2 linked regions of the Notamacropus eugenii genome follow. The protein of the gene in region 1 interacts with the protein of each later gene in a pairwise test. Links are inferred from orthologs where the notes say so. Each region holds a gene or a part of one and is shown on either strand. Other genes may lie near its edges.

The links.
Region 2: the proteins of PDE4DIP (region 1) and CCDC146 interact in binary tests that used the Homo sapiens proteins (3 or more experiments, as listed by UniProt). The two-hybrid records come from large-scale screens. The link is inferred for Notamacropus eugenii from reciprocal best matches to the Homo sapiens genes PDE4DIP and CCDC146.

The regions. Positions count from the first base shown.
Region 1 is NC_092873.1:300,433,443-300,449,714, forward strand, and holds the start of PDE4DIP (myomegalin), read left to right. Parts: upstream 1-8,644; 5' UTR 8,645-9,638; coding exon 9,639-10,763; intron 10,764-16,272. UniProt on the Homo sapiens protein: Functions as an anchor sequestering components of the cAMP-dependent pathway to Golgi and/or centrosomes.
Region 2 is NC_092874.1:153,280,498-153,296,586, forward strand, and holds the start of CCDC146 (coiled-coil domain-containing protein 146), read left to right. Parts: upstream 1-9,439; 5' UTR 9,440-9,592; intron 9,593-16,089. Other genes in the region: protein FAM185A, read right to left, coding at 4,190-4,299, 8,476-8,893. UniProt on the Homo sapiens protein: Essential for sperm flagellum biogenesis and male fertility.

The sequences.
Region 1 (16,272 bases):
TCATCCATAAAATGGGGACAATAATACTTATGGTAATTACTTCACAGGGATCATATAAAAATGGGAACACTTTGTATGCATAGAACATCCTCTCCCTGCACATTTTAGTACGTTAGGGCAAAGTCCTTCTTGCCTCATGCTAGTTATAGCTCTGCAAATAGTAAGTGATGCAGCTGGGACTCAAACTGAGGTCATCTATGAATGGTTACTCTCCCTATCCCTTTTTTATCTGTAGACAACAGACTAGAGTAATGAAAAACTAAAAATTAATTGATTCATTAACAAAAACTAAAGATTCATTTGAAAAGAACACATTCTTTATAGTTGGCTATTAATGACCTAAATTGTGTCGGATCCAATGGCCTTTTCTCAGGTCTCATCCTCTTTTGACTTTTCCAAATCACATGATGCTCTTAACTGCTCATTTATTAGAGCTCTCCTTCCTTGCTTTCTGTGCCTCTGTTCTGCCTAGTTCTCTCCTGCTTCCCCATTTCTCTGTTTCCTCTGCTAGGACTTCTCACTCTGACCTTCACTGTGACTATCCCTCTCACTCTCATGCTCTCCCCATCTTTATCCACTTACTCCCTCAGGGAATCTCCTCCATTCACATGGTTCAAATTATTACTGCTATGTGAGTTTCTCTCAAAGCTACATCCTAACCCTGAAAGGAGCAAGCGGAGACATGGAGCAATTATATTCCACAGCAGTATAAGAAAAAGCTGATGTGGGGGTGGGGTGGGGAGGAATACCTTTGCAGGGACAGGCTGCAGGGGATATCACGTAGGGGTGATGATTTCAGATTTGCAAGGTATTTAGCTCAAGTTCCAGCACCATAAAAATGCTGGTTATTTGATAACTGGCCCAACTCCATTCTTTCGAGGACAAATTAAGAGCTCTGTGATCTATGTGCAAGAAGTAGAGGAATGATCTTTGCTTCAGCATGTTGATAAAACCACAGTGGGATCAGAAAACCCTACTTTTCCACCACCATGCCAGCATATCAGTGGGAACTGACAATCTCATAACCAGTTGGTACATCTCATGCCTAGGGATGTGCCACCTTGAACCAGTTGGAGCTGACTGTTAAATTTTCAATGTCAGTGTATATACCATGGCAAATGACAAATGCTATAAATTAGGGCTTGATGTATTGCTTTATTGATTATCTAGACTTCAGAAATGAATGGAGAAAAGTTAATACAAATTAAAATTAAAAATGTGTCTTATGCACTTTTAACTCTCCAAAGAGCCAACTGTTAAATATTTACCATCACACCACTGCTCATGCTGATATTGCCTTGGGAAAATGAAGTCCATGTGTACTACTGGTCATATTAATGTGGAGCTACAGGGTCAGTAAGAGTAGACACCTAAGAATAAAATCACCAGGGCTAAAGTCAGCAATGAGTTTAATAGCTCCCAAGCTCAGCTTCAAGGTCCTATACCTGACCCCTAATGAAGACCCTGCCCCTTCTCTGAGGGCTGTGCCCATGACAAGGGCCCATGGTCTCAGACACTGGCTTTTTTCAGCTCTCCCATATTTTCAATTGTATGCTGGACAATTCTACTGTTTTTAAATCACAGTTGTCTCAAAACACAACTCATCCCAAACTGAAGTTATACTTTCTTTCCATATACCCTCCCTTCCCATTACCCCATTTCTGCTGCTGGTAGGACCCACTATCAGTTACCTAATTTAAATACCTTGGAATCATTTTGACTTCCCTCCCCTTCATGTCCTGAGTACAGTCTGTCACTGACTCTATTATTTCTTGTTTTGAAAAGTTGGTCTATTTGTTCAGATCTGACCTCAACTTTAGCTGTGTGACCCTAGACAATGCAAGTCACTTAACTTCCATCTGCCTTGGTTTTCTCCTCTGTGAAATGGGGATGATAATAGCAGCAGACTTCACACAGGCTTGTTGGAAAGATAAAATGAGATATTGGTAACATACTTTAGAAAACTTTAAAGTGATTTATAACACCAGCCATGTTGGTGTTATTGTTGTCATTAATTATTATTATTATTATCAGGCCAGGTTCAGTCGTGGAGGTCACCCTAGAAAAATCAATATCTATCTTTGACTATTATGTCTATACTCAGAGTTTACTCTGTTGAAAAATCACCAAATATAGCCTAGGTTTCCATAAATATGGATAACACTATTCCCATATCCTCTACAAGTATCCAAGGTAACAAATGCCCAATGGGTGTAGCTCTTAATGAACCAATCTATTTCAGGTCAATACCAGTCACTGTGATTTAATCAAGTGTTGTCTTTTTTCCTCTTAAGATGCCAATGGCATGCCCACAGCCTCTAATGGGAGGAGCTTTCAAGAGTCCCAAACAAAGGCTCACTACCCAGTAAACACCAAGTTGACTGGGTTACTCTCCTGATCAACTTCTATTTGCATCTATTAAGAAAATAGATAATGACCAGATAAGGATTGATATTCACATAGATATTGAGACTCTTTGCAATAACTACTTTTTCTGAGGCTTTTGACCTACAAATTGGGAATCCTGGATGTAGGCTAGAGCAGCTATTTTCAAAGAGGTCTCAGGACCCCTTTATAACTCTTAAAAATTATAGAGGACACCACCCAAAGAACTTTTATGTGAGTTACATCTATTGAAATTTACAGTGTTAGAAATTAAAATTATTATGAAAATACTTTTGACCTTATGGGCCACCTGAAAGGGTCTTGGAGAACCCCAGACTACACCTTGAGAAGTGTTGGTCTAAAGAGAACATTGAGCTTAGTATCAGAAGACATGTCTCTATCGTTTACCATCTATATGACACTGGCAAATCATTGAACCTTTCTCAATAGTTTTTCTCACCTTTAACAGAGGTGTAACCCAAGAGGGACCCACTAAGACTTTGTTTCAGGGTGCCAGTGAATAATTGACATCAAGGGGATACATACACATTATCCCTGCCACTGTTGGGATTTCCTTAAGTGATATTCTACCTGCCCTGTGCTACATTCTTATGGAGGCATATAGAAGCTATCAGGTGAGACATTCCCCAGTTCAGCCTGTTTAGCTTCTTCCAAGGGTGGGCTTCAAATACTACATGGTCTCTCTACCTCATCAAGACAATTTACCCTAGGCTCAGAATTGCTAGTTATTTGGGATGATAATAAATTACAAAGTTGTTGCCAGGATCTAATGAGATAATGTATGAGAAAACTCTTCATAAATTGTAAAGTACTGTACAAATAAGGTATTTTGACTTGACCATTATTTTGCTTAATTATTTTACTTCTCACCTTATGTCAGCTCTACCCATCAGTCTAGTTTCCCTTCGTTATATACATGAGATAATCATTAGTATCAGTCATTTTGTTATGAATTATCTAAAAAATAAATAAACCCTTTAGTATCTTCCTAATGGCATATCTCACCTTAGTTTTAAATTAGACATCATTTTTAGGTTAAAAATTCTAGCTAATATGATAACAGGAAGAACCATGAAGCTCTTAATTTGCTAACTAGGTCAGTTACGGATTTTTTTTGCTATGCTCTATGTTATCCTCTGAATTTTTAGTGATTGTAAAATAGGTCCAATTTATCTCTTTAGTTTTACAATATAATAATACTAGTAGTCAACATTTACGTAGCACTTTAAGATAATATTTAGAGTCAGCCCTTAGAATGTGTGCTCCTTAAGGATGGGGACTGTCTTTTTTTTAAAATTTGTATTCTCAGAGCTTAGAGCAGTGCCTGGCACATAGTGGAGGTTTAAGAAATGCTAATTGATTGACTGACCCTTTCAAAAATTCTCCCTTCTGGGAAGCTTGCCTTTTGTCCTTTATCTATCTATCTCTAGGTGATCACAATTAGAGGCAGTGGTAGAATGGTTAGGGAGCAGGCCTTAGAGTCGGGTTCAAATTCCTCTGACACTAGCTCTCTGACCCTGGAAAAATCATTTAAAACCTTTGTGAGCTTCGAGGAATTTTGTGTTATCTAAGTCATAAATCTCTTGGTGCAGGGAGTTTCTTCTTCTGATGAAATCACAAATCTTTATATTAACCTAATGTTTGGGGACTCCCAGGCAGATATATGTATTGGCAAGCTTAAAGATTTACCAACTGTGAAGGCAGAGACCTTTCTATAACGTAAATACTTTGCTTCTACCAGCAATACAGAAGATTGATCTTTTTGAGTTCAAATCCAGCCTCAAACACTTCATAGTTGTGTTATCCTGGACAAGTCATTTAACACTATTTGTCTCAATTTCCTCATCTGTAAAATGAGCTAGAAAAGGAAATGGCAAGTCATTTCATTATCTCTGCCAAGAAAATCCCAAATAGGGTCACAAAGAGTCCGGCACAACTGTAAAATGACTGAACAGCCACCAGTATTTGTAAAACCTACCTTACAGGGCTGTTGCAGGTTTGTAAGTGGTAAAGTACAAGGTAGAAGTGAACTGTTATTGGTGAAATGACCTTTAAAAAATAGGCGTGTCTGATTTATACTGAAAATCCATGCTTTGGCCTCCACCTCTGTCTTATGCCTGGTGTTATTTGCTTCTTACACACACCAGGGCTAAGGTGGGGTCTGGATACACCCTTCCATTCCTTCCGTCAGTCAGGGCAGATCAAGGCATACTCCCTACTAGACAGATCAACAGCTGCATTTCTGAAGAATCTTGTTCAACATGTCCTGACTTAAAACTCTTACTAGAGGGGGCCCAGAAAATGTAATCAAAGGAGACTGTGAGACTTCTTAATTTTATGTTGGGTATTTCACAGGATTTCAGAGCTGGGAAAAAGGATCCTCCTTCCAACACACCTCATACTGACAGCCTTTGATTGAATTGCTTTGATTTGGTGACAGGACCATGATATGTATAATTAAATAAGATATCATAATTGGAAGGAAGGGAGGGAGGAAAAAGGCATTTATTTAGCATTTACTGTTTATCTGGGATATGTGAGAGACCAAGGATACAAAAGCAAGCAAAAAGAAAGACAGTCCCAGTGCTTAAGGACCTTACTTTCGGACTTGGGAAGGTAACACCCAAAAGGGAGCTGGAAAGCTGGGGGAGGGGAGAAGACATTGAGGAGAAGGTCTCCTCTCCCTTCACCTTCATTCTGAAACTTGGAAGTCAGGAGTGGAACCAGGAGGAGAATAAAGACTGCAAAGTTGGGGGCTGAACCAGGAAGGGAACAAAGTTTGGCCAGGCGTTATACCCCCTTCTACAAAATGGAGGCCAAAGGAGGAATTCCCCTGTGGGGGAGGAGGGTGGACCTAGCAGAGGGATAGACTTGAGGAGGCTCAGACTTGAGGGAAGTTCCAGAATGAGGCAGGGGCAGAGGTTTGGAAGTCCAGAAGCGAGGGACAGGGCTGGTATCTCAAGACCCCAGAGCTCTTCAACTCTCCAAACCTAACCCCTCCCCCCAAATGGAACTGCTAGCAGTTTGTTTGTGTTTTCTTTAGCTGAATATCAGGATACCCGGGTTTGAATATTTGCATACCAGATTGAGGCGCTAAAGAAACAGATGGTGCAATTTATTATGATTGCATTCAAACCCTACTTTGGAATCTTAGAACTCTATTTTGGGGCCGAAAATTTCAAACAGCAGAGTTATAAAAGTATCTGTTCTCTGTTGGGAGGCAAGGCATTTGTACTGGGTGCCACATGGGACACTGAACATGTTCTCAGAGATGGCTGGTGTAACTGGGAACCTACTTACCTGGGGATTTCTCTTTTGTTTTAGTGTATTGGTTTCCCAAACTTTTTTGGCCTACTGCCCCCTTCTCAAAAAAAATTACTCAGAACCCCTATGGAAATCTATTTTCTTTAACCTTTTAATTAAAAAAAAATTGTGTCATTTAAAAAAAGATGCATCTTAAATTTAATAATTTACTGTATACTTGTGGTTTTTTTCTGCATTGGAATTTTGATGATGCAATATTATGTCATGTAACTGTATAGTATCGTATTATAAACATGCACATATTCCTGTGGATGCATGCTGGACTTCTTGACAACAAGCCTACACCCCTACCAATACTTACTTGTTAAGACCTGCCCTCCAACTTGACCACTGATGAGTTATAACTTGCATTTTGTGTGTTTATTTGGAAAAATAATGTAATCACTACGACTGATACACAACAGATGAAATGTGTACCAATATTTTTGTTCAAAATTATCTTCTTTCCTTATACTTCTACTGCCTCTTACTTTTATTCAATACCCACCACCTGCACCTGAGGCTACTACTGCCCCCCCCCCCCCCCCCATCATTCTAGCACCCCCTGGGGGGGTGTTCCTACTTTGGAACTTATATAGGGTTGGAAAGAGCAGTGAACTGAAGACTAGGCCTCTAGTCCTTGCTCTACCCCTTTACTCACTGGGTGACTTTAGACAACACGCTTAATTCCTGGGATTATCCTCTGTAAAATAGGGATCATAATAATTACACTCCCTTTTTTTATTGACCTATAAAACAATGTATGCAGTTATTAGACTGGACATGAGCTGCACCAAACTAAGTTCAGTGCCTTGCTCATAAAAGGTACTTAAAAAAAAACCTGTTTAATGAATTGAACCAATATATGGGGATCGAGCCAAATATCAGTCTTGAGCATAGGATCAGACCACTAGAGGAAACCATCTAGACCAATCCCCATATTTTGCAGCAAAGGAAGCTGAGGGCCAGAAAGTTTAAATACAGTCAGTAAATGTCAGAGGTGGGACTTTGAATGTGGAATCTCTATCTCAGGAGTTCTTAACTTTGTGTGTGTGTGTGTGTGTGTGCCCATGTGTGTATGATGGACTTCTTTGGCAGTCTAGTAAAAGCCTATGAACCACTTCTCAGAATAATGTTTTTAAATGCACAAAATAAAGCACATAGGATTACAAAGAAAACAAAGTATCGTGGAAAGATTAATTTTTTTTCATCCAAGTTCATGAAACCCCTGAAATCTTGTAGTTCATGGAACAACCCCCAGATATTAACACCTATTCTATCTCCAAAGTCAATTACTACATTCACAATTAAAAAGTTGCAGCTGGGACCTCAAGAGTCCTCTTATCTATCACCTTCATCTTAGAGACTGAATCTTGGAGAACTGAGTCAGGGAGACCTGAGTTCAAATCCTGCCTCTAATACTTAACTATATGTATGACCCTGGACAAATCACTTAACCCTATTTGCCTCAGTTTCCTCATCTGTAAAATTATCTGGAGAAGGAGATGGCAAACCTTTTCAATATCCTTGCCAAGAGAGCTGGACATGACTGAAAAACAACAGAACAAAAATGAGTATCATAATAGAACCTACCTCACAGGGTTGTTATAAAGATCAAATGAGATAATATCTGTAAAGTACCTAGTACAATGCCTGGCACATAGTAGGGGCTTAATAAATGTTTCTTTCCCCCTGAAGTCATTATTAACAGGGTGAAGATTCAAATCCAAGTTCTCCACATTTTAGCCAAATCCAGTGTTCTTGCTCTATGTATGCCTCTGGTAAAGGGTCCCTCAATGCTTCTTAAAACTCACTCTCCTCAGCACTGATCCATCTTTCTCAGCCACATCACTTGTGAAATATCCAACCCTAGGCCTTTTTCCTTGGTGCTCCTCGTTGGAACTGAATCAGAGGAGCATATCTTTTTGTCTCCAAAACTTTCATCTTTACCTTTTTTTTTTTTTTAAAAACTTTCTTCCATCACTGAACCCTCAACTCCAGGTATCTTCCGACTTCCCTTGGTTCATAATTCTGTTTAGCTCCCTGAGTTTCTAGATATTGGAAAGAAGTGGGGTGTAGAACAACAACAACAACAAAAATCAGAAGACCTGGTTTCTGGTCCTGCCCTGACTTTTTCTATCTGTATTTTCTTGAAGAAGTCACTTCTGTTTTCTCATAGATAAAAAAAAAAAAATGAGATTGGATTGGATGACCTTTTCCTTCTCTTCCCCTTCTAAATCTATGATCTGCCCCACCTAACTCCAAATGACCATTTCCCTCTTTTACCATAGCCTTGGTCTGGTATTCAACTCCCTCTTCCCTTTCTCACTTCTCTCTGCCACAGACTACTAAGTATAGAGTGGGTTTTCCACGACTTTTTTTTTTAAACAAAAGAAGAGAGAATAAAAACATCCAGGAAAAAAATCCCAGGATAAGGTAATCAAAAATTCATTTAAAACTCCCCATACTGAACGGTGCCTAAGATAATCTTGAACTAAAATTCCCTGGCCCTAGGTCAGACTTAATGACCTTCTCTAGATAATGATTATCTGGCTCCCTTATGGCCCCAAAAGAGAATCTGTTCCCCCCCCCCCCCCACCTGTCCTCTTCTGTTAAAATAGGATTTGTTCACCTGAATGTCCTGAATTGAGCTCGTTGGCCTGTTTGTGACGATCAAAAGCGATAACTTATGCAAACCCGCCTGAACTCTTTAAGGCTATATAAATGGTATTATTATGATTGTTACCCTTCCAGATCCATTCTCACTCAATCCCAATACATTACGGATTGCACAGAAGGTTTCTGGAGTGTTCTGCCTCCTTGTCCAACCTTGCACTTGCAAGGATATTTTCACTCGGGCCGTTGGCTCGTCCCACTAGGTTACGTTATTCTCTATTTCCCATGCCCCAGGAGAAGTCCTCGCCTTCTCTTTTTCCTGGATGGTTTGAACTGAGTTATAGCAGGTGTGGTGGAAGGACATTCCTTCGTCCCAAGACGAGATCTCGAATCCATAGAGAACATTTCAAGACGTGTCCGCTGTCTGAAAGGATGCCCATGCAAGGGCTGAGCAGGGAGGGGGTGCGGGTAGGAGGAGGCGAGGGATGGCGCTGCCAGCTCGCACCGGGGTACGTGGCACTGACTGTCCCCGAGGCTGAAAGGAGGAGGAGAAAAAGAAAGAGGAGGGAGTTCTCTCTCCCCTCCCCTTGTCCTTGCGCAGGAGGAGCAACCAGTAGACGGACAGCTCTGAGAGACTCAAACTGCAGGATCTGGGGACCTTTCTGGGCAGAGACCGAGCTGGCAAGGTTCACCGCTCTCGCCCCCTCCGCTGCTGAAGCCCACCCTGAGGATCGCAGAGACGGGGATGTCCAAAGGCTCTGCGCGCTCAGCCACTTGGAGCCCCAGTCCGGGTGGACTGCAACTCCCAGAAGCCCTTTACAGTTCCCGCGTGCGCAGAAGCCCCTGGCGCCATCTTGAAATCTGATCCTCAATCTCTGAGCTGGAACGTTAGTGGCGGCGGCTGCTTCGGCGGCCCTGAGCTGGGGCAGTGGCTGCGGCAAGAAGAGGAAGAGAGGTCGGAACGCCGTGCCGGTGGCTGGATGGCCGAAACCAGGATGGCGGGTTCAGAAGGAGTCCGGCGCCGGGGTCGCTTGGCATCCCCTTGAGTCTCCCGCCGGCGGACAGCCGGTCCACGAGGGGCGGGGACTCCCCGCGAGTGGTACCCAGAGCGGAGCGCGCGTGCGCGCCCAGGTAGAGGCACAGGTGTGGGGCAGCCGGGAGAGCGGGTGCCCAGGGGCATGGCGTGCCGCGCCACGGAGCCCCCGAGTGAGTGAGCGCTTCCCAGCCCGTCCCACCCGACCTTATCCCTCGCCCGTCCCTTCCCAGCTCATCCCCTCCCGTCCCTGGGAATCCAGGCACAGCCAGGACCGAAGATGAAGGAAATCTGCAGGATCTGTGCCCGGGAGCTGTGCGGCAACCAGCGGCGCTGGATTTTCCACACCACCACCAAGCTCAACCTCCAGGTGCTCCTGTCCCATGTCCTGGGCAAGGATGTCTCCCGCGATGGCAAAGGCGAGTTTGCCTGCAGCAAGTGCGCTTTCATGCTGGACCGCATCTATCGCTTCGACACCGTCATCGCCAGGATCGAAGCCCTCTCCATTGAGCGCCTACAAAAGCTGCTGCTTGAGAAGGAGCGCCTCAAATTCTGCATCGCCAGCATGTACAGGAAGAATAACGATGACCCCAGCACCGAAGCCAAAGTAGGGAATGGGACTGTGGATATGTCCAGTTTACCAGATGTCAGATACACGGCTCTGCTCCAGGAAGACTTTGCATACTCCGGGTTTGAGTGCTGGGCAGAAAATGAGGACCAGACTCAAGAAGCTCACAGCTGCCACACTTCAGAGGGCCCTGGAAACAGGCCCAGGAGGTGTAGGGGCTGTGCTGCTTTAAGGGTTGCTGATTCTGACTATGAAGCCATTTGTAAGGTACCCCGAAAGGTAGCCAGAAGCATCTCCTATGGGGCTTCTACCAGGTGGTCTACCAGTATATGTACTGAAGAGCCAGCCTTGTCAGAGGTTGGGCCACCAGACCTATCAAGCACAAAGGGACCAGCAGATGGGGAAAGCATGGAAGAAGGAACTCCTGGTTCCTCCGTGGAATCTTTGGATGCTACCGTACAGGCCAGCCTTCCACAACAGAGGGATGAGGAACCTGAGAGAGGCAGTAAAGAACTCCCAAAGTGTGATTGCTGCTCAGATGATCAAGCGATCCAATACACATGTGGCCACAAGCTGGAACTAGCGCTTAACATGATTAAAGGTTTTGACTATAAACCCATCCAGAGCCCCCGAGGGAGCAAGCTTCCTATACCAGTGAAATCCAGTCCACCTGGAACCAAGCCTGGCCATCTCATGGCAGATGGGACCAGTCCCAATTTCCTAAACAGGCCTGTGAAATCCCTTTCCAAGACACCTGTGGGTTGTTCCCCAGAGATTTCTGAACTGCAAGAACTGTGGGATGATCTCTATGAGGACTATTTGCCGCTCCGGTTCCAGGTAGATGATATGTAATACTATGACAATTCAGTTTTATCAGATGACGCAACTAGATTGTCTCCAGACTTTCACATGGCTTCTAATTAGTCAAAGTTAACCAGCAAAGTTAACCAGTCAAGTATTCTAACTCTATTCTTCCTTGACTTTCATGCTGCCCATATTTCTCTTGCCACTTTTTGGTGTGTAGGTAAATCCATTTGCAGCTTTGATTCTGCATGCAACATCAGTTGACCCCCCCCCCCCAAAATTTTTTTAAGCAAAAAGATTCAATCAACACTAAATTCTTAGTAAATGTTGTTTCTAAAAAAGGGCAGACAGCCTTTGCTCTAATGCTATCCCTCTCTTGTTTACCTCTTCCTCTTTTAGTTTCACAACTTGATTGATCCTTTTCATTGTCAATGAGAGGGCTAGTTTTTTCTTTCTCACAGACTAGCCTGGAACAGTAATCTTTTTGTGTTCAAGTGCTCCCAAAGTGATTGTAGCAGATGGTAGAGTTTGAGGAAAATCCATTAATTAGTAAAATGCTATCAGAAAAATGTTTTTGTTCAGCTGCTGTACTTATTATAATTAAGGGCATCATTTGGGGGCTCTTCTTCAAGATGGCTTGTTTTATCCCTTGAGTCTTTTTTTTAAAATTGTTTTAAAGGCCTTGGGGATTAAACTAAGATATTACTTAAAGCATTTAGGTGAAAGTCACTCCCAGTCATCAATCCCAGGTGCATTTGTGCTGAGTATATTTTTCACGAAACTGAGGTTTTTACATACTTGTCTTATGGCAAGAAGACCACTTCAACTAGTATTTTGATTTCACTTTAATGACTTGAGAGAGGCAATTGGTCTTAATTCAGCCTAGACACTAGAGAGGTGCCATTTTGTTTCTATAGTAACCATAAATACTAGATGCCTATAGTTTTCTTCAGTACTTCAGAAACAAATCATACTTGTTCAGTAATAGTATAAGTAGAAACGGTACAGGTACAAATGTTGTCATCTGGAGTGAATACTTAGAAATTATATTAGAGTACTATGAACTAACAAAAGCAAGGACATGAGTTTTATTACCTGAAGATTTGATGCCAAATTAAATTTCCCTAGTATCAAAATAGCATCCAAAGCAATATCTTCTCATGAGAAAAAAATAAGAAAATATATATAGTATTTAAATATTGTGCGCAGTATGTAAGGAATATCTGTGAAAATTCTTTGGAAAAAAATTTATAAATACAAGGTAGAGTACTATTTATATTATTTTTTAATTTTCTGCATTTTAAAAGTTAACTATTATGCTTAGGACCGATATATTTTCCTTTTATGCTTGTTCCTTTTATATACTTTCAGATGGAAATAATAATAATAATGATAACATATTGTTTATGTGTATGTAGTACTTCACAAAGCTTTGAGGTAGATTGTTCAATAATAATTTTCCCCCATTTTACATGAGGGAAACTAAGACTCAGAGAGATTTAAGAAGCCATTTAGTATGCTAGACATCATCACAAATAATGTTCAGTGCTTTCATATCAATTCTGCAGAAGTAATATTTGCCTAGGCAAGGTGGAAGGAGGAAATATTTCATTTCACAGGTCGATAATAGCTAAGGCAGAAGAACAATGACTGGAAAAGCATAGACCCAACCGGAAGAGTTTTGTCTTCATTTTCAACCACTGCTAATATTTTTGAATTGCAAGGTAGCACATCCTCTAGTCTAACCCTCTTATTTTACAAATGAAGACATTGAGTCTCCTAGAAAATTGTGACTTGCCTCAGGGTCACCTCTAGAAACTAGATCCCCTCATTCTTAACATTATGCTTTTCCTTCTCTGCTACACTGACTGAAATACTCTTTAAAGGTGGTAATTCTTAAGAGGATTTCCCAGTCCCTTCACGGTAACCAGAGTTACAGAAGGAGTTTTGGGAGATTCTGTAAAATAAAATGTGGTCGTACTAGACATGTTTTCATATGCCTCCATTTTATCACCTCCAGAGCTTTCACAAAGGTTCAGGATATGAAAAGCAGCATTTGAACAACATGGCCATTGTATGTGACCTCCCTGCTAGCTAGCATCTCCTTGCTTGAATCAGAATATGTAAGAATTAGAAAAGGACCTTAGAGGTGATCTAGACCAAAATCTTCATTTTATAGATGGGAAGGTCAGTTGCAGATTTTTCCCAAGTCACGAAACTTGGGACTACCCTATTTCCCACCTCTGCTAGGATCACTGTATCACAATGCCTCCTTTTATCCCATTGTTTGTGAAATAATATCATGACCAAATGAAAGAGAAGAATTGTAGAACCTATTTTATTATTCCAAAATCAGCAGTGGGAAATAAATTCTAGAAAGATGAATGGAATTTGCAGTATTATTTCTAAATAAAATCGGTGATCCGTTTTGGAAATTGGTCCTATTATTGCTTTCACTAGTGCTTCTTAGCAGGAGTGCTTCGTACAGAACCAGAGCTGAGTGGAGTAGAGGGAAAAAGAGGGCATTTCTCTTTTGTCTTGTCAGGCCCCTTAAATCCTTAAATGGGTAGAGACCTGTAAATGTGGTTTTGGTAACCCTTGCTTTAAAATTTGGGAGAAAAAGGCTAAGTAAACCAATGTCTCTGATCTTTTGTTTAATTCCACCCTTTCCTCAGGGACTACCACTCTGTTAATAAAGACTGCTCTCAGGGACTTTCTCCTGTTAGCTGATTTTCTCTGTGAAAAATATCCTAATATTTCTTACCTATTGATTACTTTATGTGAATCGATTTCATTCTTTCCCATGTTTTTTGCCAAGAATTCATGCTGTTAGCATTTTTTTTGTAGGTAGGTATAAAGCTATATTTTATTTAGAGACCTCTTTTCTTCATTGTCTGGTTTTGAACTAGAAAGGCCCTGGGGATATGCTTTCTTTCCCAAACAGCCTTTCAGGTTTCTGGTACATCTGGCATTTTCCCCTTTTCAGATAAATACAGACAGCACAAGATGTTTTTAATATTTGCAGCAAAGTTTGTAGTGACTGACATGAATCTCTCCTTTGTTGGAGCACTTGGCTTGTTGCAGTCATAGTTCCTGGCCACCCTTTGGAAGGTGACAAGAGTCCAAAGGGCCATCAGTCCAGGACCAGAGCTTTAATCTTCTACTATCGTTCTGTTGTCTGTCTTTCCTTTATTAGCAGCCTGAGTTGAAAATTACAGTAGCGTGAGGTCTGGGCCTTGTTATTTTGAGGGTGAAGCAATGCCAAGCAAAATGCTTTTTAACTGGAAGAATCTGAGTAACAGTAATAATGTCACAACATTAGTCTTAGATGGAAGGGTTGGCGTTTGGCTAGCCACCAGGCCCGGAAGTGGTTTTGCTTTCTAAAGCAAGGGAGTATTTATAGGTTCTATCTCTGGGCTAAGTGATTTCATTTTCAAATTGCATTATCATTCCAATGTCATTGTAACAGTTCACCAGATCTAGCAATTTAGATAATGTTGAACCAAAGTATTGCAGATTGAAGATTGGATAAAACTTTCACAATTCACTCTTGTAATAAGTATTTGATGCTTAAACATTTTAAAATACAGTCATCAGCATGATAAAAATACAAGTTCACAGTCCTCTGGTTAAGAACCCTTTCCCTAAAAAAAAAGGATTATTTTTCCAATACATAGGTATTTAGAACTGGAAGGAAATTTAAGAATAAGATTGTTTTTTGAACCAGGCCTGTGATTCATTGCAATAAAATATCATTGCAGTAAGAAATCTCTCATTGCCAGTGTGGACTGTCTGTCACCTGTTCTGCAACTCAGATCTTGGGAGCTGCCAGAGGCACTGAGTAGAAGTTAAAGTTACTTTTACCAGGGTGTGACAACTAGTAGGTGTCAGAGGTGGGACTCAAACCCAGATTGCCCTGATTCTGAAGCTATTTACATGTCCCAGCCTAATTTAGAATTAAAAACAAAGATGAAACATCCAGTTTCTGGATCTTTAGGAACTATGAATTATTTCAGTGTAACTGTTCATTTTCATCTACAGATGAGCTGGGTTTACTATGTGTATTTCAGTAGAACTTCCTTGACTTTTGAAATTAATCTGTTTCTACATTGAAGATAATATGAATTGTCCGTAAGCTTGAATTTTGGAGAAAACCAAGCAACAGAGCAGCTTGCAAAATCAGCTTTGATAGATACATTCAGTAGACAAGTGATTCCTTAATGTGTATTGTTACAATCTATTCTTGTTAGTTATAATTACTGGAAATAATCGAACAAGTTCATTTGGTCTTTCTTCTACAGGCCACAGTTCTCAAAGGATGGGCTTGTGGTTAAAATTTTTATTTACACACCCACCAGTGCTCTTCACATCTTTTTTTCTGGCCACACAGAAGTAAAGTTTATGACAGATTAAGGGAAGTCTAGTATGTTTACTCTTATTTGTTTACACAGAGGTTTTGAATTGTTCCTGGATAAAACGAGAAATTCTGAGGTATAGTTTATCTTCCCAAGTTTACCTTGGACTTATCAGGATACTTGTCATCATCTCTTTTGTCTTTCTCTTCCTCATTTGCAAATGAAAGTGATATTCCTTAAAGTCTGTACCTGATTTCCAGAGTTAGGAGATTTTGAGCTACCTGGAGATTAAATATTGAACAAGGATTTCTCATTAGGAACTTCAGAACTCTGTAGTTCTGATTTTCTCCCCTAGTTGGTTTTTGTGTTGCCTTTAAAGTCAGAATACAGACTTAACATATCAAAGCAGGAATGCTGATATCCATAAATGTCCCTGAAACGCACCTATCAGCTAATATTTGTTGGGTATCCATTAGTAAAATTGTGTGTGTTCATCCTTTGTTGCCGAAGAAGACCATGCCATCAGAGAAATAATGACATGACTTGTACTTGGCTTTGTTTTGAGTGAGGGAGGGCTGTGCAGGTCACCAGCCTCACTTCTCTTCCAGAGCCATCTGAATCCAGTGACCAGATATTCATCAGGATGACTAGGGATGACCCCTAATTGGGGTTAGGTGACTTGCCCAAGGTCACACAACTAGTGAGTGTCAAGTGTCTGAAGTGAGATTTGAACTCGGGTCCTCCTGAGTCCTGCACTGGTGCTCTATCCACTGCACCACCTAACTGCCCCAACCAAATTAGCATTGTGAAGATGGATAGGTCTCAATCTCTGTTTTAAACATTTAAGTAGCTGCTGATTAATTGCTTTTAGGAAAAGATTTAGATCACTGATACTTTTATCTTGTTGGATTTGCATTTCACTTGATTTTTTAGACAATTTATTACTCCATTAAACCCCCAGACTTCCATTTGTAATTCCTGTGGTTCTCTGATTTCTATGCCCTTTAAATCATCTGTCATGTGAATAACAATATGAATGATTTGCCCTCACTAGATTTTCCAGAATTTTGAGAACATTAATAAATTGTGATTTTTATCTTAACCCCTTTGAACATAAATGATTGGTATATTGGCATTCCTACATTTTCCCTGTCTTTGACCTTCACAACAAACATTCAAACTATGCT
Region 2 (16,089 bases), on another chromosome or scaffold:
CTCACCTGATATAAATACTCAGACTGTCATCAAAGTTATTTTTGTTGTTATATCATTCAGTGAATTTTATGTGATTTTAACATGCATGGAAACATCATAGTAGAAGAGAGATGCTCTATCTAATCAAAGTCTTTTTAATAGGAAAAAAAGTCTGTGGGACCATCTTTTAGCCAACTGCATGCCTGCAAAAATGTGGTCTACTCTAGAAGATCATGGGCAAAAGTCTGCCTGTTCCTTTCTTATACCTTTATCAAAAATGTCCTCAATACATGTGTAGATTATTCTTAAAAATCTGTGTATAAAGACAGGAAAGTAGGCTTATGAAGTTGCCTTCTAATCACTATGTGATTTTTTCCCCCAAGTATTTGGTATCCCCCAATGGCCACAAGATTACATTGTTTCCAGAGTAGACTTCCTCTGTGTACGCTGGTCTAGTCTAGCTTCTCTTCTCATTTCTGTTTCCTTTAATGCCATTTCTACCTCATATAGATGCACATCAGGGGCTGTGATATCAGAATTCAGATGTAGTAGGACTCTGCAGTTGTTGACAGAGAAAAAGAGTGTTACAGTAATGCTGCCATCTCGTTTTCATTTTTCATCTATTTGTTGTTTTCCTTCCACTTTCACCCTTAAATATCCTTGAGATGATATGAGTTAAATGAGTCTCTGGCCAACTTTCCATAAACTTGCTTTCCCCCTAACACGTCTCACTTTGATGAGGCGATACAGTTCATGATCTTCCACGATCAACCTCTGGAAGATGTTTACCAACATGACTGTTCTAAGCCCTTGGCTGCTCTATCTCTATGTTTGACAAGATCAAATGTCTGCTGGCTGGGTTGATTTCTAGGCTTTTTAGTCTCCCTGATGTAGGGGCTGATTTTTAACAGCTTAATTGTATGAAACAATAATGGTGTCAATGTCTGTTCTTTGATTTCATGTCCCATTTTTCAGTGTCAATGATTCAGTAAAATAGGTTACAATGAAACTGCCATATCAGTTTGCTTCATATTCTGTCTTGTAACTTGGTATTGCTTTGGATTTCCTGTTCCAATAAGTCAGTAATTTGAGTGTATACTGACCACTGAGCTGGAAATGACTCTTGTATCAAGAACCAACTGTTTACTATAAGAATATCAAAATAATTCAAAGTATCAATGTTAAAAATTGTTTTTACATGCAACTGAGAAATAAGATATACAGGCAATGGGGTAGAGAAATCTACCTTACCATACCAGGAAATAGAAGGGGAAGGGAATAAGACAAGTAGGGGGGGATCAGAACAGATGGCATACTGGGGGAAGGGATAATCAGAATGCATGCAGTTTTGACGTAGGGGGAGGGGAGGGATGGGGAGAAAATCTGAAACTCAAAATCTTGTAGAAGTGAATGTTGAAAACTAAAAATAAATGAATAAAAACACTGAGGTCTGCAAACAGAAAAAAAAAGATATATGCTTACACATTCACGCATGCATGAACATCTGTACATACTGTCTGCTCCCTCTCTACAATACCAAATGGTAGGACAGGTCAGCCTTGAAGTTCCCAGTGAGATGCTAATGTGACATACAAACCACTCACTGATTATTAGATGTTAGTAATAGTTTGTCGTCCTGTTCCATATGAAAGGACAGAGTAGTCCAAACTAGTGAGGGGAATGTCTTCTATGTGCCTCTCCCTGTCAAGTTGTCTGGAATAATTTATTTTTCTGTGCCTTGCTGACTGTTGACTAGAAAGTATAGTGATATAGCAGGGAAATGGAGGGAAAAGATCAGGGTCCATCTTTTCTTCAAGTTAGCAAGGAAAGCGTGGTCAACCTGACACCTAGGTTCTCAAGCTAAATGTGTATAGAACTTTGAAGAAGAAAACAGAACAGATACCTAACAGGCCTTAAAATATTCCCATCATTAAGCATCTTTATGAATTCAAAAAGGGGTTTTTACCCCAACAAAAGAAAAGTATAGAGCTTAGAAATTTTCTTGTGAAAGTCCATTTCTTTGGGTTCATCATCAAAGAGATGACTTTCCCAAGTCAAAGCAATATTAAATTCAACTGTAATGGTGGGAATTCATTCTCACTGGCTTATCCCTCTGTCAGTGAACTGATCAATAATTTGCCTGCTACAGAAATAAAAATAAAAAATATGAGAAATTTTTAAAAAAGCAATTCAAAGCACCAAAAAAATTTGTTTATGATTTTATTTGAAAACTAAAACAGCCCATTACCTACATAAGTCACATTTCTGAAGTAAATAACTGCAAAGCCCAATTTAATAACCCTATTGATCATACGTGATTCTTAACCAGAGGGCTGTCTTCAAAGTCCTCATTGCCACCTAGTGGCCTGAAATGGTTTTCTGAAACAGTTTCAACTAGCAAAAAGTGATTAACTCACCATAATTACATTGAGCTACACTAGGTTCCAGAAGTAATTCCTACTCTTTTTCAATATTTTCTGAAATAAATCACTTGAAGTAAGATCCAGTTTCAAGTAAAGAGCTACTCTGAGACTGTGCTAGGATAAGCAAAACTGATTTGAGACCTATTTTTGAGTAAAACAAAGTTTAAAGTTAAAATGAATTCTTACTTTCTAAAAGTATGCTCTACACATGGCTATTGCTTCAGTTATTCTGTTAAAATGTATTTGTCTAGTCCAAAAATAGATCAACTTGGGGGCAAAAAAGGAAGAATGTCCCTAAAATGTCCAGGTGGAGAAACTGTGTTTATAAAAATACAGATGGATTTAAAAATGGGAAATCTTTAAAACAACTGAAGACTGCTAAAATAATTAAAAAGTGATAAATGGTGGAAAGCATGCATTTACCAATAAAACTACAGAAAACTGTAAGTGACCTGATAAAGTCTTTTTAAGTATTGAAGGAAAGGCATCCAAGAAGCTTTTTATTAAAACCTATACTTCTCACACAGGCAAATAAGCCACAAATGTGGCATTTTCCTTGCTCTCTCCCACTGTCCCCAATCCGTCTTTTGATAGAGCTATGGATTTTGATTATGAAGGGGGAAAAAAATTCTGAACTTACCTGATGACTTCTTTAAAATTCCTGAATGACAAGGACAGTGTTAAACTGACCTTGCCTAAAATGACTCAGGCAACACTCTAGCACTGAAGTTAAAATGTTTTCTCCAGTATTTAAAATTTTTGTTTCCAAAGTTTACTTACCTTCCACATGCAGTATTTTTCTACATAGTATCATAATGAATTGTCACTAAGAGTAATACACATCTGATTTTTAACAAAATTAAGATTTTCCTATTGGTTAAAATATGTAAATTAGGGGTAAAATGTTTGTTTAATATTCATCAGTGTTCTTTTAAATAATGAGTTTCCTCATACATAGAGACCATAGATCCATTTGCATATAACTATTCAGGTAGAATGACCTCAATAGTTTTCTTTTTTTTTTTAAACTAGACCTATGATTCCATTAGTGAGGAAAGATACCAGTGAAGGGCTCCCTTTATCAATGAAGAAGGCAACTATTTTACAAATTTAAGACAGAGAGCTGCGTGGGGTACTGAGAGGGAGTGTTCAGGGTCACATGGCCACGGCCAGTCACTCAGACAAGGACATGAATCCAGGCCTCTCCTGATTCTGAGGCTGGGTGGAGAACTTGTGACATAAAGACCACATGTGACCTTCTAGGTCCTCAAAGTGCAGTCCTTTGACTGAATCTAAACTTCACAAAACAAATCCTCTTAATAAAAAGATTTATTCTGTAAAACTTGGACTCAATTAAAAAGCCACACCCAAGGACCTAGAAGACCACATGTAGCCTCAAGACTGCAGGCTCCCCACCCCTGCACTAGGCCATGTTGCCTTTGAGAAATCTAGAAAACAATTCAGAAAACTTCCTTTGGGAACATTTTTTTTCCCTACAATTTAAAGAACTGTTCTCAAAACAGTCAGAGAGCATTACTCACTTTAGATATTAAAAAATCAAAGAGAAACTCTCCAAATAGTCTGTCACCATTGTACTTCCACCAGAGTGGTTTACCAGCAGAGCTCACTCAAAAGTAAAGTTGGAGAGTTTCTAAAAAGTGACTGATTATGCATGTTAAAGATCAGTATCATTAGTTAGTCTTCAACTTATTGCCATACCAAATATTCTAAGTTTGCATTTGTTTAAATAGTAAATAAGTTTAGGAAAATTTGACATATCTACATACCTTCACTGACTGCACAAAGCTGATGCCTTGCTCAGTTTCTATCCTACAATCATCACATTCAGCTTCCTGCACCTTTACGCTGCCGGAACCTGATGTCCTGATATTCAGATCTAGAAATGAAGAAGGAAAGACAAGTTAGTACAAGAGCTGAGGACAGCTCCTCTGAGAGCAGGGCAGTCGATACTGCATCTGGCCTAAAAGGCAGAGCTTATACTATAAAGCAGTACAGTCAAAACAGACAACCTTCAGTGGCTGTCTGAAAGAAAGTCCCACTATTTTAACCTCGGCAGAGGTTAGGCAGAGAGGCGATGAAGCTACTTTTCCTCTACTCTTCAAGAGAATACTTGTTTGAGACAGGTATCAGTATGACATTTATTACTATGAGTCTGGACAAGGGGCTGTGAAGTCACCTTATCTGTCTATCCCTAAGCATATATGGGATGATACTAAGGAAAAAATAATATATTAATGAAATACATTTGCCAAAAGAACAAAATACATCAAAAAGAAAAATATGATTTTTTTTTTCCTACTGGATAATGGAAAGATCATTCCATGGTCACATCTGAATACCAGTGCAGAATGAAGAAGTAACTAGGAAATGCAGCCGTGTTACTGGTGTGTACTACTCTCAGTGACTAAGGAGTGAAGAAATAGCTTTCTAGTCATGTTTACTAAAGGTATGATGCTAGACAACTGCAGAAAAGAAATACATTTTCTGAGATTCAGGGAGATCTCAAGGACAAATCTTAACTATAACCCTATACTTCAAAGATCCAAAATTTGATCATTGTAAAACCTCTCCTTCCAACCTACCTCTACCTCCAACCTCTTGTTACAGGTTTTGACTTCTCCATGCCTCAGGGCTGTCCTCAAGAGTCACTATGGTTCTCTCCCACCCCCCCAATAATTATCTTGAAACCAACCCTCAGGTAACTTGCTTCTCTGTAATTAACTAGGTTGTTCCTGAGATAACAGACTTCTGTTTTACCTAATGGTCCAGACTTGATGCCTTTCTATCCAATAGAATCCTCCAGAAGTTGCATTCCATTGGTATAAACTTCTAGAATCTAGAGAAGCATCACAGCTGGCCATTAAGCAACTCTGAGAACAATCATGAGAAAATAAAACTAAGATTAAGTCACACGCTAATCACTAGATGCCCTCTCTGAGCTAGCACCAATAGGAAACTGAACAAACAGCATGCTTCTTAACTGCAGTGAAATCAAGGCCCCATAGTTTGACAAACAGGGATTTAGGCTTACATGTCACCTTCTTTCTTCAGAAGGTTCCAAAGGAATTTTCAACACCCCTGTAAGTGCAGCTCCGACTTGATGAAATTTTTAAAACCACTATCTAAAACTACTAGAGAGAGCAGGGTGGTAATTACTGATTCTAGCTTAAAGCAACATAATCAAAAAGGATGACCTACACTGGTTGGCAGAAATACTTCTGTACAGCTCTATTTTCTGAATGGCACTCATCAAGGATCCAAATCCTGAATGTCAGGGAGGACTGGTGGATGGGATGGCAAAAACTACAGAAAGGGGAAAATTCCCAGAAGAGCCATGGCAGACTACAGTGTTGTTTCTCCCAGAGAATTTATCAGTACCAAAATGAGAGCTATGCATTAGAGCAACTGGTTTATATAATACATAGAGAAGAAATGAAACAAAACAGTAATAGGCTTAGTATCTGCATGAAGTAAAGGAGACCAAAGTGAACCAATTTATAAATCCTTCCAGTTTTATTGGTCCATTGGAGTAATAATAAAAATACCTAAAATATCACCTGAAAAGAGCAGTCAAGAATTGAGAATGTAATTTCAGAATTAAAATAGTTCTTTACCAATTAGAACATATATACACATACATGCATACACATATGCACACAAGCATGTAAATATGTCCATAGAAATACATATGTGCACGTGCATACATATATACACATAGTATAAGACTAGATGTATATGGAAGGTGCACTTTACAAGTTCTGAAAATGAATAAAGAAACTGTGCCTAGAACTGTGCCTAGAAAAAGTATGTTCAAGCAAAGTCAAATAGCACTGGGCTAGCCAGCCTACAAAAATCTCTGCATACCTGGTCTCATATAGACTGACAGATCAACCAACCATTGACATATGTCCTATAGGACATAAGGGAATGTGGTCTCAGTCTCTTACATTTTTATGCTTCGTAACTATTTTCTGAAGCCTCATTAGCACAAATATCTACAGATAATCCTGATTGTCTAAACACTTCTGCTTCACTGAGATAAGAACTTTCTTAAAACTCGGATCAAAAAGCATATTAGAAGCAGGTGATTTTATATGTTAAGATATGGGTTTGATTTCACCTCTACTACTTACTAGGTATATGACAATGGTCAAGTCATTTCACATCTCTTGATCTTTGTTTTATTAATTTAAAAAATATATGGGCAGTATATTGTTACTGTGTACTATACTAAGTTTTTTGGAAAGTTTGGTAAACTTAAAATCAATATGTAAATGTGAGTTATTACTTTTATTATATAAATGTATAGTGCTATTAATGTATTAAACACGTCCTCCACTAACGTCATATTCTGATGCATCACTGTAGGCCTATCGTGGGTAGAAATTGCTCTTTCTATACGGTTCAAGGAAATGGTCTAGAACTGTAACTACTGACATTTTCTACTCCCACAAGTATGACTACTTGTCATGTCAAGATGAAGCAAAGTTCATATATACGGCAGAAAAATACCCAATCTGCCAGGCCTTAACAATTTAGAAAAGAAAGTGTTGACTATGGTATTTTCAGTCTGTTGTCCTAGAACTAGCCTACATGAAAGGTGGCAAGGACAGAATTTTTCTCCATACCAGGGCAACTAAAACGTAAAGGGGTTAGTTACAATCTACATCAGTAAAGAAAGTACCATGCCAACAAAATCATGTCCCTTCCAGAGTGTCAAAGTAACAGTATTAAACATGAACTTGGGCTATAAATTCAAATTTGTCTGTAATATTAAATCTGTTGCATATAGGACCAAGTAATAATAAGCTTTCTTATTTCAAGATGGTGACCAACACCAATTAAATGAAGGATCACTGAAATTAAGTGACTATGAAGCACCCTTAAAATATGAAATGCTAAATAAAAAGCTAATGTGACCACTGCTGATGTGTAAATAGCTGCAAGACTGGAAAATAAGACATTCTTGGTTCTACCAATCAAACAACTTTGAGTAAATCACAATGGATCTGTAAAGCAAAGGACACTGACATTTAACATATAACCTACAGAATAAAGAGAAATAATGGAATCTCCCTCAATATACTCCAGAGTCAAGCATTATATTATCCCCTCCCTAATCTTTATATCAATACTTCAAGGAGTCATGATTTTATTGCAGTGCATACTCCTATTAATGCATTTGGCAACACTTCTCCTTATACTTGAATAGACTACCTCAGGAATGGCTATTTATGCAGCAAATTTATCACCTGATGGCAAGTGAGCCTTTCTACATTTAGGCAAGTCCTCCTCAGACAAGTCATCTGTCACCTCGGCTTTTCTACTTTAATAGGTCCTGCCAGATCTTAAGTTTAGCTGGTACTGCCTTAGAAAACCCAAGTTTACATTTGAAACAAGAGTAATCAGATGTGCTAAAACATAAACTCTGAAAATCTGGGTAGTTAATAAATCAAATAATTTCCCAGTAACGTAGATAAACTTTTAGTCACATTGGCTTAAAATTAATAGTAATAAAATTAGTTTTTAGATTGCAAAGTTGGGAGAAGTTTTTTTTTTTTTTTAAACCACCTTAGTGAGTAGATGATATTGTTTTAAAGTCTAGAGGCTGCTCTGCAAAACCTAACTGGTTCATAATTCCCAAATGTTTAGTAACAATTACTCATAGTCATCCTATAAAGACCTCTACTTTTACTTGCTAAATAGTAATGACTTTATAATCATCATCTCCTCTCAGGTTTATAAAAACACAGTAAGGCAAGTAGTATGTTTAAATATCAGTTACAGGGCCATTGAACTAACACCTCTGGAAGTGAAGACATGCCGAAGTGCCATCACTTTGTAGGGCCTAAAAGCACCTGCACACTGTATGCTGGCCGCTATCACAAGTCTCCGACTACTCCAATGACAGGGCTAGGGAGGCTGCAACGCGAGAAAAGGTTCGCCGAATCTGCAAGGAAAGGACCCAGGTTCGAATCACCCGGGTGGACTTGCCCTCCGTGACCTCGGACCGCGGGGGCCGGAGGCGCCTCACGAAACCCCCTGGGCTCACCGAACTTGAGGGGGACCTTCACCTCCACCGAGGCCTGGGGGCCGAGGCTGTCCGAGAGGATGGCCATCTGCTTCAGGGCCTCGTCGTACCTCACCTGGAGGCTGTCCAGGTCCAGGCTGCCGCCCTCCACGCCGCTCACCGTGACCAGCACCCGGTCGGCGTCCGGGTAGTGGTAAGGGTCTAGGGGTCTCACGGCGATGTCGCACGGGAGCCGCGCCCGCAGCCGCCCGAACGGGTGGACAACCAGCGTCCACTCCTTGAGCGGGGTCCGGCGAGCGCTGCTCTCCACCAGGCTGTAGGGTCTGGCCGGGCGGGCTCGGCGTGCCCCCGGGGCCGCGGCAGCCCGGAGCCCGGCCCATAGCCCCAAGAAGCCGAGCTGGGGGCCGCCTCGCCACCAGCCGGCGCTGGGGACAAACATGACCCCGGCTCAAGCCCGGCCCGAGGTCACCACAGCCCCGCGCCGGGGTTCTCTGACAGCGGCCGACCCGGCGAGGCTAACGGAATAAGGGGGGCACGATGGGTCAAGGTGAATGGGAATGACCCCCTGAGCCCCATACATCGAGCCCGCCCAGCCCACCGCAATCTGCCAGCCCTGCACGCCGCTACAACTCCTGGACCCCAGAGGCAATTAAAACCCGGGGACGGAACTCCCCAGCCTTCACCCACCAGGTGTCTTTTCACCCTTCTCAATCCCTCAATAACCCTGTGGGCCGACGGGATGGGTAGTTCTGAACTGTATAAAGAGCGTGGAGTTGTAGGCACTCAATAAACTACAAGTCCCAAAAAGACCGCGCCAGAACCTGCGGGACGTATTGCTGAGGGCGGATGGAAACACGAGCGGAAGCTTGTGAGTACGCAGCTGACTGGCTGTTTCCTGTGCCTCGAGCTCATTGGTCTATAGTTGTGGAAAGGGGGCGGGGGACCTTTACCAACCAATAGGAAACCTAGAAACCACTGGTGCGGCGGAGTTCCATGGTCTCCATGGATACAGGGGACGCGGCGTCTGAGGCTCTAGAGAGCGGTGCAGTAGTGCGGAAGAAAGGCAGAAATTCCCAAAGTCGAAGCAGCCAGCGCTGGAAAGAAAGGGCCAGGGAAGAGGGTCTATATTGCCGAAAAAGTAAGAAAATGAGTCATTGGAAATACGGGGAGGACCATGTGGGAGGCGGAGTCCAAAACTGATACGCAAAGTCCTGAGGTAAAGGAGAGGGGAACTGAGAGTGAAAAGTCGGCTAGAGAGGCCAAGAATTCAGTGAGCTTTGGAAACAGAAAAAACCATATATATCCGTATACACACCTACACATACATATAGCTGTAGGTTAACGTGTACATGTATCTACATACACGTACATGTATAGACATACGTAAATGTACGTATAGCTATTATGTTAGTAAATATTGCTTTCCTTTTCCTTACCCGTTCAGTCGCTTCGCTTGCTTCATCTGAAAAAGGAGGCTAGACTGTGTGATCTCTTAAATTTCTTTCCCATTTCAGTAGTCTGTGAATCCCTGACTGCAGCCCCACCCTCATTTCCTAGCCTTTCCGTGACCACCTTCTCCAACGAATTCCCGTTCTCTTATTCATATAGTCACAACTTACTGTGGTTGTTTTGCGTCCATAATAATTATAACACGAAATCTGAACTTCAGAAGTTCCACTTGTCCCAGAATGTAAAAATTACAATACTGTACAAGTTAGAAGAGGACGTTTCAAGATTGGATAGGAGGCCAAGGGTCCTGGATGATTTTGCTGACCATTATATGCATATTCAGAGTTATTTTAAGTGTATTTACCTTGCTTCATTCTTCTGTGTTTCCACCTCATCCTCAAGAGCTTTGGTCAATACGTTTTAGATTAATTATTTACAATTTTTAGGCTTTGTTGTCTTATTTCACTTATAAAAATCCTGTATCCATACCTCTTTTAAAATTATGATCAAAAAACTTCCAGGCACTTTAAAAATTCAATTAAATTTCTTATACAGCTGTCAAAATCTTTATAGACCCACAGATAGTACATTCTTTATTTAACAGTAATTCCTTCCCTGCGATGCACTAAACTGCTTATAGACACGAATACAGCCATCACTGTCATATACTAAGCATCTTATAGGCATAGAAATGAACCCCAAAATTCGAAATAATTTTGAAAAGACATTTATTTAGAATAACGGTTCTAAGAGTTTTCAAATTAACTGCACTAAGCAGTTAAACTATTTTGTACAGTAGGCCATTCTCTGGCACTATACTGAGATAGGTATCGATAAGCATAAACATTCAACTTTAGGTTGAAATATAAGCATAAACATTAAAATTTGGGGCACCCTAAACCTAAATTTGGGTGTACTTGGATGGGATTTAAGCATTCCCTGTAGCCATTCAGATTCCTTAATAGCATCTCTGAGGTTAGCCATTTTCTAGTCATATCAAGCTATGTATATATATACGTATACATATATATACGCATATATGTATATGTTATTTCCAAATAATATAACATATTTCCTTGTACACCCCCATTTTAAGCAAAATGAGTGACTCCTAGAAAATTTTTCTTGATCATATAAAGTTTTAAAAATTCACTAGAATTATGTGAGAAGTTATTACTACTAAGATTTTATGGTACTCCTACTATTTGTTTTCTTATTTTTCCTCTAAAAACAGTGTGGTGTAGTGAATAACAAAGCATGCTTGGTGTCAGGAAAATGAGACCTGTTTCTGATACTATCTGGGTAACCCAGGGCAAGTCACTCCACCTCTGTTCCTCAGTCCTAGGACCTTTCTACTACAAGTCATAGATGGATTGTAATCTACTTTGGTGGTAAATTTTCCCTAAAGTGAGTAAATCACAGATCGCTTGTGTATTTTCTTTAGTACCTTTTTTACAACTGATCTTTTGAAGAAGAAAATAAAGCAAAAAAAAATTCTTCCTAATGCTTTGAGTTTATCAAGCATAGCTTTATACTTCAGTGTTTCTATCAAACTTGGAAGACAAAAATCATTAACAGTAAAAATCCAGAGAGAAAGCATTTCTTTTTCTTATTTAGTTCCTGTCTTTAGCTTTCATAAATTAATCCTAGAATGAATGGATTTCTGGAATAAAAGAATTGATTTTTAAAAAGATGGAGATTGTTTTCCCACAAAATTTCTAATGCAATTAAATTCATTCCTACTTTTTTAGTGATTTGTATTTCAATTTATAATAGCAAAGGAAAAGATTTAGGAAAATGTATAAGTTGTTTCCTCAGGAAAACCCTATTAATTGAGACTAAATGAGTGGATATTTGAGTTAAAGAATATTTAAAATGCATATTTATTACTTCCTGATTTGAGGAGTGGGGTGGCAAGTTCCTGGACCTGTAAAGAGAACTCCCTGTGTGGAGACTTCTGCCACCGATGCCAACTAGCAAATTCATCTATAATTTTTAATCTTAGAATATTAATTTCAAATCTCTTGTAAAAGTGATGGGTCACAAATACCTTAGGGTTCTTTATAAGTTACAGGCAGGTATTTGATTCCAGCTTTTCTATATCTACTAGATTATAAACTCAGACAGTAGGAATTAGGTTGTTTTTTGTAGTCATCACTAAAGTGTCAGTAATTTTAATTAGTATATTTCTTTGAGTTGTGTGGATTTTTCTTAAAATGAAAAGAATCTATCAAGTTTTCCTACCTATTTCAGTTCCTGAATTTGATAGCCAATGCCTCTCCAAATGAATGATTCTGTAGTAGACCATCGTATTACTGAGGGGAAAGGCAAAGAAGCCATGGATAAAACGTATGTAACAAAATGAAGTTTATTGAAGGATGTTCTCTACAACCAACTGAAGCCACAGGATTGGGGCCAGGGTTATCTCCAATCTTGATCCTACACAATTCAGGGGTAGGAATCTGATTAGGTCCTTGACGAAAATAACATCCCAGATTTCTTTCTTTTTTGATATAGTAAAAGTCCTATCTTTGACATGCTCCCTTATTTTGTAAGTTTCTAAAGGAGATGAGCATTGGAGAAGAAGTGAGGTATTTTCTTTTACCTTTGCTCCCAAGGGTACAATTTTTGAACTTCTATCTAATCATAATCTCACCTCGTTCCACCTCTCTCCATGCTTCACTCCTACATCTGTTCCTCATCCTCCATAAGACCTTTATTCCTTCCATTAGTCAATCTTTGGCAGGCCATTACCCTTTCTCTGACTTCAATTTTTCTCATTCTTCAACCTTAACCCTCTAGTTAGCTATTTCTGCACTGTTCTACACTGTTTCCACACTGTTCTCTGCAGTTAAATCCCTCGCCCCTTGTCCTCTGGCCAGATTTCAGCCCTGGATTGTTCCCACCATACTCTTCCTGCATCTGCTCACAAGTTGTTGAATAAAACTGGAGGAAATCCTGCAAAGCCTGGTGATTGGGTACATTACAAAGTCATATTATCCAGCCTTATCTGTGCCCACACTGCAACAAGGTAGTACTTTTATTCTCTGATAATTGATTCCCTTTTTACCTGGAATGTACACTTTCCTTACCCCTACTTTACAGAGTTCCTTTTTTTCCTTTCGAGGCAATTCAAACACCTTCTTCTACATGAAGCTTTTTCTGTTTCCTCCAAATGCTAGTGCCCTCCATCTCACTAGTAATGATGTTGTATGTGTAAATTTTATATTTACTCTGTATATCCCCCATTAGAATATAAATTCCTTGCAGTTAGGGAATCTTTTATTCTTCATACATGTATCTCCATTCCCCAGTGCCTAGTTCAATGTTGCACAGTTGGAGCCTAATAAATACTTAGTGATTTGTTGAGAATTTTAATTGTTGGTTAGCCATGAAGTCTTTTTCTTTGGTCATTTTCTGCCCTGCTATCTGCTGTCATTCTACCTTCCAGACTGGCCTCCAGAGACCTTACCTGAGAGGGGTTAAGACAATCTTGGCTCTAGCTGGCACTGTTCAACTTTCTGTTTACCATCTATCCTTCAGCTATGTGTATACCTTTTTCACTTGTGCTTCCTACCTTTTGTTCTCAGAACCATAATGAAATCATCATTCCTGTGAGCTTGATTGAGTCACCTTCTCTGTGTCTTTCCTGACACAAATTCCCTTTCCTGGTCACTGTATCCTCATTTATACCACCCTCCTCCCCCATTAGAACATAAACTTGTTGAGAGCAGGTACTTTTGTAGTTATATTTCTAGAGCTTAAACTAGATCATGGTACCTATTAAACTGTTAATAAGTGCTTTTCAAAAGAGTGATAAAGGGAAGTGGGAAGAAAGCCTGCTTCATCCTGATTCTGGAACTGTTCACATAGCTTATCATAGCTACGGCAAAGTGCAAAGTCAGGCTACCTACCTTTCCAACCTTATTATTCATCTTTGTATTGTCCATGATCCAGCCAAATGGTTCTCCTTAACTATAGCCCTCCATCTCTCATCTTCATGCTTTGCACACGCTGACTCCCATTCCTCTGATACATTTTCTTCGTTCCCTCCTTCCCTCTTCCTCTTCAAATCTTGAATGTCCTTCAAAGTTCAGCTCACATGCCACCTGTTCCTCCAGTCCCCACCGTGTTCTTTCCACTTTGTATTTGCTTTTTATCTATTTTATATACACTGTAATATATGCGTGTTGTATTTCCCATTAGAATGCAAGACCTTGGAAAGCAAGAACTGTTTTATTGTTGTTGAATCCTGAGCATTGTGCCTGGCACATAGTAGGTGCTTAATAAATTGCTGATCGGTTGATTAAGTTCTCTGGCTCTGCCATTTACGACCTCTGTAAAGTTGGGCAAGTCATTTCATGTCTCTGAGCTTCCATTTCTTCATCTGTAAACTGAGGGGTCTGGACTAACATACTTATGAGGTCCTTCCAGCTTTAGAGCTGGGATCCTATGGACATTCCCCCATACAGAGAAAAATTTCTCAAAGTTTGTTTATGGCCTAAATTTCTAATTTAACTCTTAATTCTCTTCTGCTCATCTCCAGACTCCAAAATATACTATAGTTTTAGTAGACAGGCTAACATCCACACAGGACTTCTTGTACATTATTTCATATATTGGGATGTTTTTTGTTTGTGAGATAAGCAGTTGCAGTTTAATTTATTGTAGGCCAATAGACACACAATATAAGTAGTTCTAGAGCTCTCACATTTGCTGCTGCATTAGTAGTAAGTTGCCACAAGGTGGCAATTATGTTTTGCTCAGTCATATCGGAATAATGTTTGTTAGAGTCTTTGTGTTTGAAATTTAAATGATATATAATAAATTCGCATAAAGTCATTTCTTTTATGTTTATGCTATAGCTTGAATCACATGTATTGCATAATGGAACAAGTTCTAGGTTGAAAATAAGAGAAACTAGATTCTAGTCTTGGTTCTGCCATTAACTCTTAGCTTGACCTTGAAGAAATTGTGAGATCTTATCATTTTTACCTTCCCAGCATTTCTCCTCTATGTGCCCCTAGCCTACTAGCCTTGAGCCCTGATCACCTCTCAGCTGAACTATTGTAGTAGCCTGCTAGGTTATCTCTGTCTCATGTCTCACCCCACTGCAGTCCATCCTCTACTCATGGTTGCCAGAAGTGGTTTTTCTTAAAGATCAGACCTAACTCTATAGGTCTGAACCCATCACTGCTTCTGCCCCCTCAGTTAACTGCAGTGACTCTGTTACCTCCAGGATCAAAAATATATGATTCTCTGTTTGGCACTTAAAGTCCTTTACAACTAGTTCCTTCTTACCCATCTAGTCTTCTGAATTATAGAGTGCATGAAAAAAGAATAATAACATATAAGAAGTCTAAATGCCATATGTAGGAATTTTATTTGATCCTAGAAGCAATAGTAAGGCATTGGAGCTTCTTGAACAGAGAAATAAGATGGTCAGAACTGTGCTTAAAAAAGTCAGTTTGGGAGATGTGTAGACGATGAATTTCAGAAAATGGTTATCGTTTGTTTTTGATGTTTGTTCTTCATTCTCAAGGAAGACCATGACATCAGGGAGGGGATGCCACGACATGCAAATGAATTGGATTTAAGTGACAGAGGACTGTGAAAAGTCACCAGCCTCATTTTTTCCTCTGGAGCCATCTGGGTCCAGTGACCAGATATAGGTCAGGATGACTGGAGATGACTTGGCCTTTTTAAGCTAAGGTCTTAACAGGTCTCAATTTGACAGAGGCAATGCCCATTCAGTGGTTAAGGCTAGGTAAGAAAGGAGCCAGAGAATGGCCTCCCTACCTGGTCAGAATTTTTTCAAAAAAATCATTCTGGGAAGATAAGACCTTCAGAATTTCTGACCAAAACAGAAACAATTTGTTATTAACATTCACTCTAAGCCAATCAGGGAGGCAGGGATATGAATGAAGAACCTATTGCCTTAGTGCAGGCTAGAGATAAAGAGGGTCTAAACAAAGATGGTGGTTGTGACTGAAAACAAATGGATGAATTTAAGAGATTCTATCAAAGTAGAATCTGCAAAACTTAGCAACTGATTGTAATTGTGGTGTGAGTTAAAGGAAAGAATGGAAATTTCGTACTTGGAAAACTGACAGGATATCATGGTAACAAAGGACAAGCAATGACAACTGAAAACACAGTGGTGCCCTCAAAGGAAAAGAAATGGTT